2 linked regions of the Tamandua tetradactyla genome follow. The protein of the gene in region 2 purifies or fractionates together with the protein of the main gene of each other region. This does not show direct contact. Links are inferred from orthologs where the notes say so. Each region holds a gene or a part of one and is shown on either strand. Other genes may lie near its edges.

Evidence for each region.
Region 1: the proteins of tubulin alpha-1C chain (region 2) and TXNDC9 purify together in Homo sapiens (co-immunoprecipitation; 3 studies listed by BioGRID and IntAct, counting the BioPlex papers as one, with this or other methods). This does not show direct contact. The link is inferred for Tamandua tetradactyla from reciprocal best matches to the Homo sapiens genes TUBA1C and TXNDC9.

What each region holds. Positions count from the first base shown.
Region 1 is NC_135343.1:4,925,740-4,932,993, reverse strand, and holds the start of TXNDC9 (thioredoxin domain-containing protein 9), read left to right. Parts: upstream 1-4,250; 5' UTR 4,251-4,381; exon of another isoform or gene 4,382-4,399; intron 4,400-4,494; exon of another isoform or gene 4,495-4,606; intron 4,607-4,615; exon of another isoform or gene 4,616-4,922; intron 4,923-6,414; 5' UTR 6,415-6,447; coding exon 6,448-6,636; intron 6,637-7,254. Other genes in the region: EIF5B (eukaryotic translation initiation factor 5B), read right to left, coding at 3,208-3,242. UniProt on the Homo sapiens protein: Significantly diminishes the chaperonin TCP1 complex ATPase activity, thus negatively impacts protein folding, including that of actin or tubulin.
Region 2 is NC_135333.1:110,188,809-110,195,668, reverse strand, and holds the start of tubulin alpha-1C chain, read right to left. Parts: upstream 3,010-6,860; 5' UTR 2,878-3,009; coding exon 2,875-2,877; intron 99-2,874; coding exon 1-98. UniProt on the Homo sapiens protein: Tubulin is the major constituent of microtubules, a cylinder consisting of laterally associated linear protofilaments composed of alpha- and beta-tubulin heterodimers.

The DNA of each region.
Region 1 (7,254 bases), on a different chromosome or scaffold from region 2:
AGTACTTTATTTTCTTTCCAAAAACTGAGATGTGGCTCAAAGCTTTATCTCTCTCTTGTTTTTTTTCTTTACCTGGGCAGGTACCGGGAATCGAACCCAGGTCCTCTGGCATGGCAGGCAAGCATTCTTGCCTGCTGAGCCACCATGGCCCGCCCTCAATGCTTTATCTTGATAACTAATAAGCAGCCGTTCATTTCACACACAGTTCAACCTGACCAGAAACAGTTGGCATAGGATCACATGAGAGAAGGCAACTAAGAATGACAGTAAAACCTTTAAAGTGAGGATCTTCATGAAAGATAGTAAAACCAGATAGAACATCCCATTTCATGCAAGCAAGATAAATCCTAAAATAGGACTTTCTCCTTCTAAACTTGTTTTCCATGTTGCATTCTTGTTTCTTTTACAAATATCATTTAACTACACGAAGTAAAAGCAAACTGATTTGGAAAACAGTGGAACTTTCTCCCCATCTCCCCAAAATATTTTCCGTAGAGTGCCAAAATAAAAAAGCCAAGCCGTTCTGGTCAAAGGGGCCCCTCTGCAAAATCCTACAATTTCTTAGATACAATTTGAAAGCCACTCAAGCAAAGAATTCTGGAAAGGAAAAGGAAGCAAAGAATTCTGGGAAGGGAAGGGAGGGGAGAAAAATACAATCTTCATATTGGCATATGAAAAAATATGTATGTTTTTCAATTACATTGCCACTACTTTCCCTTCAACATGAGCCAAAAAAATAAAGACTAGAGATTAGCATGTGTGCTGCGGATGAAGGGGGAAGTAGTATTCCTTCTCCACTATCAAATCAACCACTTGATACCGGCTACAGTGCCTGCAATTAAAACTTTACACCATGAAAAAGGTAGAATGGGCATAGCCCAAATATCCCTAAAGAGTGACAAAGATCAAAGGGAATGGTGGAGTTATAAAGAGAAGTAGGGTTTAATAAACGAGCAGACTGCTGAATCATTATATCGGTATTTCTTTAGTCTTCAATATCTTAGAACAGTTAAAAGTAAAAACCTAAAATTGTGGAAAGGCAACCCATACCAAACTGTGAAATGTGTTCTACAACTAATTATTGCTCTGTGCTTTGAAATTTATTGCTATTTTGTATATATGTCATTTTTCACGAACAAGAAAAAAAAAAGCCAATTGTGATGATAAGAAAGTATTTATTCCTTCTAGCCTCCAATGTTCTGGAGCAGCTAGAAGCAAAAATCCGAGATGAAGGTATGGTAGCACGTGACAAACTCTGTGATCTGTCCTGTAACTACTTGTTGAAGAGTACTTTGAAAACTACTGCTTTTTCTTTCTTTACTTTGTATATATGTTAATACAAAAAAAAAGTTAAAAAAAGATTTACACCACCTATGAAAACCAACGAATCATTAAGAAACACTACCTTTTCTCTAAAAATATACAAACAAGAATAACATCTTTTTTCCACTATGAAAAGGCATAATAAATAAAAAAATTCTGGAAAGTAGAATAACATATATGCACTTTTTATGCCACTAACTTCTGTAATCCTGATCCAAACCAATTAAAATACATACACACACAGAGTTCTCACCTGCCACACCAGAGACCCAGGTTCAATTCCCAGTGCCTGCCCATGCAAAAATAATAATAATATATATATATATTTATACACACACACATACACACACAAAATTGTGGGAAATTATTGAATAAATATTTGACGATATTTAAGAAATCATGTTTGTAATCCTAAGGCTTGATGAGACTGACTTTGTTTCATGTTTTTTTTAACTTTACTTTATCTTTCAGATACACCTGAAAAATCTACAGATGAAAAGATACTGAGAACTGCAAAATACCCAGCAGGTATATGAAACAAGGTTGGTTATGTACTAACAATGCTTGAAGTTGGGTAATATGTACATTTTTGTGTGTTTATTTGAAAATATCTCTCAGTAAGGGAAAAACAATCTTATGCGTCAAAAAAAAACCGCATCAAAACTACAGAAACTGTGTTTCTGGCTACTGTTTCTTATTCATCAGGTTTGATTATCAATAAGTCTATTCTCCAAACCAAATTAATTTTCTCCAATAAATCTATAACTGAGTTACAAAATTCACTTTAGTGTCTTTAATTCCACTCATTAGCTAGATGAGTGCCAAGTGAAGAAACAATCTAGAACTCCAACTTATAATTAGTACTTATCTGAGCTTCATGCCACATATCTATTTTGAGTCAGAATGATCAACTATTGGGATTATTTTCTTTTACCTTCTCTCCCTCTTGTATCTGAACTGTTTGATAGATAGGGTACAAAGGGGAAAAGTACCAGATGTTGTTCATTCCCACGAAGTAAACTCTTTCAAAGAAAAGGGTTCAAGGACTCAGTCGAATGTGACATAGATGTTTTAAGATTCTCCTGGTTAAGTAATTCTACGTACTCCCCTTACACTCCCTCCTCCAAAAAAGCCTTCATGTGGTTAGAAAGGAACGACCCTGGTTGGTCTAGTTCATCTACTCCTCCTCTCTTAGGGGAGGTGCTAGAGAGCAAAGAAACGACCAAAAGACAGGCCGGAAGAAGGAAAGCGAAAAGCACGGAGTTTGGACAATCAGCCCTGAGATAATTGATAACTATACCCAAATTAGATGAAGTTAAGAAAGAGTAGGCTGATAAACGCCTCTCTAACGCCGACATTCTTGACAACTCACAGTGCCGAAAAACTCGGAGGCACATATAACAGCTTGGGAGTCCCTTCCCATCCAAGTATTCACAGGTACAAAGGCTTAACCAGAATTCTTCCCGGCCCGCGCTGTGGAGAAGGAAGGAGCTCACATCCTTTCCAGAAGCAGCTCCGCAAAAGTAACTCCCGCCCGCCCGAGCCAGGTTGGCCCGGTCGCCCGAGACCCTCCCCGCGCGGCTGGGAACCCCCAAACGACTGCCCCTTTCCGAAGGCCAAGCGGCGCCTGCTGGGGACCCCTCTCCCCAGGCCGGGCGAGGGCAGGTGGGGCAGAGACCGGGCGGGGAAGACCAGCCCGCCGTCGAGGCCCTCCGCGCCCGTCCGGGACCCGCGCCGCCCACGCTGGGCCCAGGCCCGACGCCCCACGAGAGTCTCGCCGCGAGTCCCACGCCCGCACCCAGCCCCCACCCCCACCTCCGGCGGGACTCGCGAGTCCCAGTCAGCCGCGGGGGCCGCCGCCGTACCGACCCAGACAGTGGCTACCTGTCTTCACTCTTGTTTTTCTGCTTCTTCCCCATCGCGTGTCAGCGACGCTCGTGGCCTTGCCCCCTTTATCCGGTTTCTCGCGGACCCACTGCGCCCCGGCCGACTCTGGTGTCCACTCAGCTTCGTCCCCGCGAAGCTGCCGCCCCTCGCACCCGGCTCTCCACAGACCCGCGCACTGGGACAGGGCACATATGGTGTGAGTGCCCAATGCGCATGCGCGTCGCCCCGCCGCTTCGGCGTGGGGACGCAGCGCGCGGCTCATCGAGAGTGGCGCTCGGGGTAGAGCGTCTCCAGTTGGCCGCCGGACCGCCGGGAGTCCGCGCGCCCCCTGCCCGTCGATGCCTCGGGTTCTAGAACCGCGGGCCGGATAATGAGGCTGTCAGTCCCGCGTCAGCCCTCGCTCCTCGGGAAAAGCCACCGGGATTTAGCACTCGGTTCAGAGGAGGACTTCGGGCTTCTCTTCCACCTTTCACCCTCCTCGAAGGAGCCGAGAATGGGCTCTGGATGTTCCCGAGGGATACGAAATTCCAGCCCAAAATCGGGGCCGCTTCCAATGCCCATTGGTTAGGAAATACGCAGTCACTAAAGAAATCATGAGGCGAGGACGTGCCCACCAATTTACCCCGAGAAAGGTTTCGATCTTTATATGCAAAGCAAGTTCTCGTGGTAGGGAAGTCACGAAGGAACGTTCCGTGACCCGATCTGGGCTGCTGTACCACAGGGTTATGTAGGTGCAAGTCATATTGCGCCACCTAAGTGATGCCTCCACTGTTCAATAAACTGAATGGAAACGAACTTTGAGGCTCACTCTTGAGCAAGATCGAGACTACCTCATTTCTGACGTAGTGCTATAATGAGTACTTGGGCAGGGCGTGAGGTCGGACACTCAGGGTTGGGGACCCGGCGGCTACGGGGCGCACAGCAGACAGCCTCGTCAGCACGCCTTTCCTTGGACCCAGGCGAAAAGCAGCAAACAGGCTGGGAAGGGCGCGCATGCGCAAAGGCGCTCTCCGCCCGCTCTGCCGCCTCGGGCGTTTCAGGATGTATCGCGAGAGGGCTACAGCCAATGAGGAGGAGGGGGCGCCGGCCGGCTTGCAGCCACCCCCTCGGTGTGCGAGGGTGAATCCCGGCAGGGACCCTTTTCCGAAGCGGCTGCTCCGTCCCGCCTCAGGTATTACCGAGAGCTCAGGTGAGGCGGGGAGTGGCGTGGGAAACCCGCCACCGCGTCCCGACGCTGACGGACGCATCACCGTCCAACATCCGGCCGGCGCGGGGGAGGGGCGCGGCCGGACGCGGGGATCGGGGCGGCCGCGGAGGTTTTGGCGCGTGCGCCGGGGCACAGTTGAAGTGCTGAGGGCTGTGCCTGGGTCCGGCCCGTGGGGCCTGGCGTGCATTTGTGAGTGAGGCCCCTTTGTTGTTTTGGAGGTACCCACGGGAGTCAAGGAAATGGTTAGGTCATTGGAAGACTCGCGGTGTTGCTTCCCACCCTCCTCCTTTTGAGCGTAAAAAAGGGAAGAAGCGGAGGTTGGTGAAGAATGAAGTTAACGCGACCGCTACGCCGTCTCCTTTGACCTCCTCTTTCTGAGTGCGGCGACCACCGCCACCTGCCTCCAGAACAGCTCTTGTTAATCGTCTCTGTTCCTAGTTATCCCAGAATTAAATTCTGGGCTCATCCTGTGAAACTCCAGGGATGAGTGTGCGCCATGCCCCGAGTAAGAACAGGTTCTGATGTGCAAATCAGCGCCTTCATACAATCTTCTGGCTCATCTAGATCAGCTCCAGCGTTGCAGTGTGACTGACGGTTTTCTTCGGAAGTGTGTGTGTGTGTGTGTGTGTGTGTGTGTGTGTGTGTGTGTGTGAGTGGAATTCTTTTCTTGTATTTGAAACAGCTCCTTTTCAATTTTATAGCATTTATGGGACGCTTTCAAATTGGTTTTCTAACTTGATATTTGTGACAGTTTGAGCAGAAGCTAGGCACTTGTCCATTCAACATTAAATAGTTATTGAGCATCTACTATGTTCCAGGCCCTGTACAAGTAGCTCTGGGGATACAGAGATGAATTCAAGTGTATTTTTCATCTGCTTTTCCTGTAAGGAAAAAGAAAATTACAAGTAAAGTTTGCAAGGACAGTATTTCTCTTCAGTTTAACAAAATTTAAGGCGTCTCTGTAGGCCAGGCTCTCTGTCAGAGGTTGAGTGAGTTCGGTTTATTCACATTTTTTATGGTGCTTCAATCAAGTTTACAAATGTATCAGTTTGCACGAACTCCTGCTTTGATAGGCAAATTGTAAAACCTATCTTCATGGCAGTTAGCCCAGGAATTCAACTAAATAACATTGTTACTGGTAGAAAATAACATTTCTCTTAAAATATTTGAGATCTTCCTTTCTAATCTGAATTAATTGTTGGAAGCAGACAAATTTTTTTACTATTTTACCCAGAGGACTAACAATGGAAAATCAGTTTTTTTTAATATCTGTAGTGCTGTATTGTTTTACATCAAAGTTAAGAACACTGAGTGTCAGTAAATCAATACCTCTATCAGTTTTTGCGGCCTCATAGATTGTGTTAGGTAAGGGGAAAATAGAAATGGAAATAACACGCATTGTAATGAGATCTTCTAGGAGGTAAAGAAACTAAATTCGTTTGGGTAGAGACCATAAAAAACTCTCCATTTTGCTCGACTCTGTGCTGTGTTGAATCAAATTGGTATGCCTGGGAATGTGTAAACCTCAGTACAAATATGTTATTTCACAGTGATTTCTGCTTTACTTTCCTTTTCCTTTGGTAAGGAAAACTGATTGTCAGTAAATACCACTAGCTATAATTCCAGCTATTAATTTCTCTCTGGTCTGGTGATTGTCTTGAATACTAGCATTTGCCTTTTTTTTTGCCATGGGTAGGCACCAGGAACGAGAACTCTGCCACTGACCTGCCATGGCCCACCCTTGTATTTGCTTTAGTATAGCAAAACACAAATTAAGTCAGAAGATCCTAAATTTTGCTATAAGTAGTTTTTTGATTATATGACTGTAACGTATTAAAAATTTTAATTTAAAATTCTTAAGTTTAACCTGATGTGTATGGGTGTCAGCAGAATACTCTGCAGTACAAGTATATATATGCTTGCTAGAATTTTTGAGAATGGGAGAGAAGACTTTGTGTATTTATATTATTTTTTTCTAATTTTGTAAATCTTCCCAGCCCCAGGGCTGAATTGTACCATTTAGAAGAAGAATGGAAGGCGATGCATCTGTTGGCATGCTTTCAAAAGTCCTGGAGAATCAGTTGCTTCAGACTACCAAACTAGTGGAAGAACATCTGGATTCTGAAATTCAGAAACTGGATCAGATGGATGAGGATGAATTGGAACGCCTCAAAGAAAAGAGACTTGAAGCACTAAGGAAAGCTCAACAGCAAAAACAAGTAACCTCTCTGCCCTGCTTTCTGAAATTGCTATAACAGTATGCTCCTAAAAATTATATATACATGTGCTGCAGCAGTTAAATTCGGTCCTCTTTTTTAGGGTCTTTGAATTGAAAGTACCTACTGCTATTAAAAATTTGCTAAAAAAAAGAAAAAAGTTCTAAAGACACATTCAAAAATTAATCTAGTCAATTTATTAAACCACAGTTGAGTGAAAGAGAAGTTTCCTACCCAAGATCATTTTCTGAGCTCAGATTTGTTTGGTTGAGGAGAGAGTAAATCAGGAAGAGCACTGAGAACACTAGGAGTCGGCAGTTTCCATTTCAGGTAGAACTAATGTCTGTCATAATTTAGCTAGCTTCAGTGTAGGAATGGTGCATGAGATAAGAGCTATGGGGCAATTCATGTTGAAGAAATTATTTCAAACATTTCCAGTGTAACATTTATATGTGATCTCTTTATTCAAGGGAATGCATGCTGGGCACCAAGAAAAATAGCCACAGCTCTATCCCTGTTGTTCTCCTAGAGTGTATAGAACAGACTCATAGTTGTATGCTTACAGAAAAAATATGCACAAAATACGGGGTTCCCATATACTACCCTATTATTAAAAGAAAT
Region 2 (6,860 bases):
CCATCGGGCTGGATGCCGTGTTCCAGGCAGTAGAGCTCCCAGCAGGCATTGCCAATCTGGACACCAGCCTGGCCGACATGGATGGAGATGCACTCACGCTGTGCAAAGGAAGATAAAAAAAATGTCAGAATATGGCACATCAGATGGCACACTGGGAAATGATTCACCCAGATGACTAATTAGTCACCTAAATGACTAATTAGCCTTCAGGACAGACTGCCACTTTTCTAGAGGCCACGCCAGAACATGGACTATGTTACAAGCATCAGTTTTTGTTGAAGATCTAATTAAAAAAAAAAAACGCTTTGAAAACCAAAGCTATGTTAATGAACCAGGGAAGGCAAGACCCTTGTTTTCTAGTCACATTAGATATTCAAAGTCAGGTTTCTACCATTTTGGAATGACATAAACTGCTCCACAGCAATATATTCCCCGTAGCTCTTGGGAAATATGCTTGCTGTTTCCTTAAATAAAATTCCCCCTTTCAGGTCTGATTCATTCTCTATGTGATTGTGCAACTTCTGAGCTCATTCTGGTCCTTCTTGAATCCTATTCTTTAAGAGGCAAGACCTCTTTCTCTCTCCCCTTTAAAATCAGTTTAACCCAGCAAACTACAGCCATATGACTCACGGAGAAAGTGCTAGATAAGCAACAGTTAGCTGTATTTTAAAAGCTGTGGTGAGATGCAGTTTTTTAAACCTGTGGAATAATTTAATTTTTAAGAACATTTTTCCTTCACATCAACAAATCATGGAGGGGGTAAAGCACATTGTTAATAAAGACTAGAAGTGTTGCCAAGACTTCATTGCTATTTAAAAATATTTACTGTTTCGTAGGAAAATGTACACATCCCTGGTACTATGGTTAAAAAAAAAGCCTATGATTAAAGAATTTGAGATTTTGGAGAAATGTTTGTTTTGCTTTAATTGCTCAACATGGTCATTTAGAAGTTACCAAACTCTTTTCTGCTTAGTAAAATAAGGTAATGAACATAGAATCAGTACTCACAGACTTAACAGAAAAACAAAAAAAAGGATATTTATTGTATTTTCTCATAAATCAGATTAGCTAATCTGGAGATTAGCAGAGAACTTTCAAAATACCCACACAGTAAATCTCTCATTACTTTTCCCCCTAAGTAGTAGGGTTTCAAGTTTTTAAAAACTGCTAATAGGAAATTAGTTAACGAAAATTAAGTATCAGTTAAGTTCTCAAAGAGTCTAATTTCATAACTTGAGCAATAAAACCCTGAATCATCAACCTTTGACTTACGATCACTCCTTCCCATCTGCTTCCCATAAAATAATCACAGTCTCCTTCCCACCTGCTTCCCATAAAATAATCACAGTCTCCTGACCACATCAGCAAGCTCAGAACTACCTGTGTCTACTTGCCCAGCTCTAGGGCTGTGGGAGTAAAAGCTGTTTGTTCTAATGAATCCATGACTGTTTACCACTGCATCATGTTTACCTTTAACTGGACTTTGGAAATTCCACAGCCCCTGAAAGCTGGAGAGAACCACAGATCCATCCACGATGGTACCCAGGCCCAAGGAGATAAAAGCGGCCAAGAGTTTCTCATTCTAAAGAAGCTGTTCTTCTACTGAAAATTTCTGAGTCCAAAAACTTTCCTTTCTTAAAGTGTAGCAGGCAAAGTTAGTGGCCACTACTTGCCCTCCACTGTCCCCTGGCCACTTGGGAGGTGTGAGACACAGGTGACAGATTCACTTAGTGTAATTTTAACTGGATAAGCAACCACTGTCTCATAAAATCCATTAATTCAGCCAGGGTTGCCTAAAAAGATCTGTTGTTGTTGCTCTCCTGACCTTTAGTACAAATTCCACTACTTTTTGAATCAGACTTTCACCAGTTTTTGCTCTTGATAAAAGGCACTGAAGCAAGTTGTTACAGTAATTCATACTTTTAATAGTACTTCAGTGGTAGTCTCTGAAAAGGTTATTTGCTGTATCCCCACCCCACTTTTAAAGATACTGTACTCCCCGTTTAAAGATACTTTTTAAACATCTGATACACCAATCCTTGTTTAAAACGTGGCTTATTCTTATTTAGGCCTCCAATAGAATAAGATAGCTGGTCCCAATACCTCTGGAAGGTAGATGGAAAATTCTCAAATTGTATATAATCTTATGTTTCCTGAAAACTGAAATAAGAATACATCATCAGCGATTTTTCTCTGGGTTTTTTTTTTTTTTTAAATCATTCCTGTGGACTTTTAAAATCTCCCTTAAGTAGAAAGTTTCAGTTCCTCATATCCCATGGAGTTAGCATTAGAAATGGGGATTAGACAATAAGACAGTTAATTATTCCCTTCAAAGGACGGGCCCGCCTCCATCCCTCAGGTGGGAATGCTGCAACTGGAAGTTCTGCCCAGGGCCAGGCCACAGGTGACTCAGCAGCGAGTCACAGGACGCTGGAAAAGGGGCGCCAGGGAGTGTCTGAGCCTTCCATGAAGGAGCACACAAGGCCTGGCGATCATCAGCCCGTTCACCCTCCAGGGACCAGCGTATAAGGTAGGTGAGGTCATGTGGGGAAATTGGGGGAAGGGTGTTTTAAATTCTCTCTAATTTGGGGGGCCAACAAGAGGATTCTCTCGCTCTCCTTGGGCGGTGACAGACCCTGTGGGGCTACCTCTCACTAGGATCAAGAGGACTTCCTACTTCCCCCGAGGGCTGGGTCCCGGCCGCCCCTTCCGGCTTTCCCAGTCCCGGCTCCCTTAGCCAGACTCCCGGGGTCTCCGGGAGACTCCCCGGGCGCGGCCCCACGTGTAGCTCCTTCCGCCTACGCACTCTTCCCCCAGAGTCCGCACAGGCGAGGCTCCTGCCGCACCTTTGGGAGGCCCCGGGACCCCACTCACCATGACAGGGACTTGTAGGGCCAAGCGACGCTGAAGAGGCGGGAGGATGGCGACAAGAATCTCCCGCTATGAGACTACCAAGGAGTCCGGGGGAGAAGTAGTGAGAGGACGGCCGGCTCGCAGGGGCCTTTTATAGCCCTTCCTGGGCCACGTGTCGCGAGGGCGGGCACTGGACTCCGCCCCGGGCCCCCGCCGTCCCGCCGTCCCGCCGTCCCGCCTCCCTGCTACGCGGCCCTGGGCTGGTCGGCCCCCCGACAGCCCGCGGGGAGGGGAGGGGCGCGCGGTGCTGATTGGTGGGTTTAAAAGTTCAAACCCAAATATTCGGAAGGAGCCAGGAGCACTAGGAGGGGAGGAGAAATCCTGCAAAAGAATGGGTTGGGTGGGGTAGAGAAGGGGCAGGAGACGGTGACTGAAAGGAGGTGAAGCGTCTACACGGTCCTCACTGGGTGTGGGAAGCGTCAGGTAGGCAAAGGCTAGGAGAGGTGAAAAGTCGGATAAAGAGAGCGGCGGAGGAGCGGGCCACCGTGGCTCAGCGGCGGAGCTCTTGCCTGCCATGCGGTACACCGGGGTTCGATTCCCGGTGCTTGTACAGGCAAAAAAAAGGAAGCCGCGGCCGGAGACCCGGGAGGGGAGACCCCTCACACGCCCCCGCGGGCTCGGGACCCCTTGGAGGGCGCTCCGCGTGGCTCCCAATTAGGCACCGCCGCACAACTCCGTATAAGGCCAGGCTGCGCGCCGGCGCTCACCGCGAGGCTGCTGGATCCTCCCGGGTGAGACTGGGTGCTGCCCGGCCGCCGCCGGCGCTGGCCCCCCTCGCCTTGAGGGATCTCTGAAAAAGAAGGCCTTGTTCCCCGTTGCAGGGTCTTAATTAGCCATGAGAGGGCTTTATGCTCACTTACCTTTTTGGTTACTTTTCTTTACTCGTTTTTCTATCTCCTCTTTAAATGAGATGGAAACAAAAGAGGGAGTAACAACTTGTTCACAGAAGGTACAAAAACAAGTTTTTTAAGTTCATTATAAGAATAATTTCCATTTATTGATTGCCTGCTCTGCACTGACTTAACTACTTTTGGCTCTCATATTACATCATCACATTTCCTCTATAACACAACTCCTGTTAGTTAATCGCACTTTACAGATGCGGGCTCAGAAGAGTTAAACTAGTTGAAAATCACAGTGGACTGTGTGTGTGTGTGTGGGGGGGGGCTGAAGTTAGAACCCAAGTCTGTGTAACTACCCTTAAACCCTACTTTTTAAAAAAATTTTATTTATTAATTAAAAAAATTAAACAAACTAAATCATTAATATGTGATCATTCCATTCTACATATATAATCAGTAATTCACAATATCATCCCTTAGTTGCATATGCATCATTTCTTAGAACATTTGCATCAATTCAGAAAAAGAAATAAAACGAAAACAGAAATAACAAAAAAAAAGATTATACATACCACACCCCTTACCCCTCGCCTTCACTGATCACTAGCATTTCAAACTAAATTTATTTTAACATTTGTTCCCCCTATTATTTATTTTTATTTCATATTTCTATTTGTCTGTTGACAAGGTAGATAAAAGGACCTTAAACCCTAGTTTTTAGTGCCTCATGCCAGATAAATCCTCTGGCCATTCAGCCAGAGGTTTATTTTTCAGAAGCATCTTTTACTTTGTTTTAGTTGTTTTTCTTTCTCTGCAACTTCATCATGTTAAGGTGGCTCTTAGTAGAATTCCTTAACCATCTCTGAGCCATGGAGCTAATGGAAACATTCAGGGAACAAAACTGACTGTTATACAGAATAAAAGTGTACAGGGCTTTGGAAAAGGCAAAATGAAAGCAAAAATGGGTTTTGGATACAGAATAAACAGAACTCAAGATACACTCCAACTCATAGCACAACGCATACACTGGAAATATGGGCCAAGATTCCTTTTCAAATTACCAGTACATAGTTCCTTCATTCATCAAATGCTTATTGAGCATCTATTATATGCAAGAATATTCCAAAATTAGTCTCTTGCTAAATATTTCAGTTTTAATTAGTAGTGTTCAATTTTTGACCATTCCACAAATATGTATTTAGCAGTTTCTAGGTGCTTGGTGATAACATATGAACAGAACTGACAGATCTCTGCATCATGGAGCTTATATGTAGAGCAAGATAGGGACAGATGACAAAGCATGAGCATAATAAATGGGTAAACTGTATAATTTGTTAGAAGGCAAAGAGTGCTATTGAAAAATGTATAACAAGGGGTGTGTGGAGTGGAGGAAGTTGCAATATAAATAAGATGGTCTAAATGAGAAGGTGAGATTTGAACTTGAAGGTCATAAGGAGTTGGCTAAGTGGCTCCCTGGGAGAAGAATGGTCCTATCTGAGCAACTCCAGCAAAGGCCCCTGCCCCTAGGCATGAACCAGTCTAATGTTCTTGGAAGGAAGAGCAAAAGGCCAGTTTGGATGGAAAAGATAAATAGAAGAGGTCAGAGAGGAAATGTGGAGCCAGATCCTCTAGTTCCTTATAAGACACTTAAGTCTGGTGGCTTTTACTCTGACATGGGGAGCCATTGTAGGGTTCAGAACAGAAAAGTGACAAGATCTGACTAACTTTTTTAAAAGATTATTTTGTATAACCTGATATTTAGAGATGAGAATGAAGCCACATAAATCGGATTAAGGTAATTCAGAACACGGGGGTAAGGAAGACGTATTTTAGAACCACACCTACCCTTTGAGACCAAAGGAAGAAAGGTTTATTTTGTCTGGAACCTAAATTTTCTGTAGTACATAATCTAATCCAACCTGTCTGGATAGCTCATTTGAACAACTGAAACACAGGGAGCATAGAATAAGAATGAGGGCCTTTAATCCTATATAGCTTAATGTAATGCCTGGATACATCCTACAGTATATTAAGCAGATAATTAAAAAGTTGTGGCAAAGTCCCTTGAGGGATGGAAGAAACAATAAGGAACTATTAAACTTTACCATCAGGGAATCACCTGATACTGTGTCAAATTTTAGGGACATCCAAATGAAAAGGCCAGGCCCTTGATCTTGAGGCTCACTCTTGTGAAGCTTATGTAGGCAGCAGAGAAACTTAACCTACTTATAGGTATGCCTAAGAGTTACTTCTGCAGGACCTTTTTGTTGCTTAGATGTGGCCTCACTCTCTCTAAGCCCAACTCTGCAAGTGAAATCACTGCCCACCACTCTACATGGGACACGACTTCCAAGGGTGAGAGTCTCCTGGCAGCGTGGGAGATGACTCCCAAAGATGAATCCAGCCCTGGCACCATGGGATCAACAATTCCATCCTGACTAGTAGAGGGAAAAAGAAGTGTAACTAATAAATTATCAGTGGCAGAGAGAGTTCAAATAGAGTCGAGAGGCTACTTTCGAAGTTGCTCTTACATGAGCTTCAGTTAGACCTTGCTACCTATCATAACCTGTGAAACCCCAACCAGGACCATTCCAGCCAATCCTAAAGAACACCTAGGGCAATATATAAGATTCTACAAGGATTCCATGCACTAGAGTAACTTTCCAGATACCTACAACCTCCAGATGGGTCCCTGGTCCAGAAAAATTCTGAAACCTAGCCCAGCCTCTCCCGAACATCAGATAGTTCCATCTCTCTACCCCATATTAGTGACAGACCCTTCCAACATGAAAAAGTTAGAATGGCTATAGCCTAAAGATCCTTAAAGAGTGGTGTAGAAAGATCAAAGATGATGGTGGAGTTATACAGAGAAGGTAGGGTTTAACAAATGTATATGATTGCTGAATCATTAAATTGGTATTTCTTTTAGTCTCTGGAATCTTAGAGCAGCTAGAAGTAAAACCCTAAAATTGTGAAATTATAATCCATACCAAACTCTGAAATCTGTTCTACAATTAATTGTTGTGCTGTGCTTTCGAATTTATTGCTTTTCTGTATTTATGTTATTTTTCACAAAAAAAGAAAAAGTCGATTGTGATGATAAAA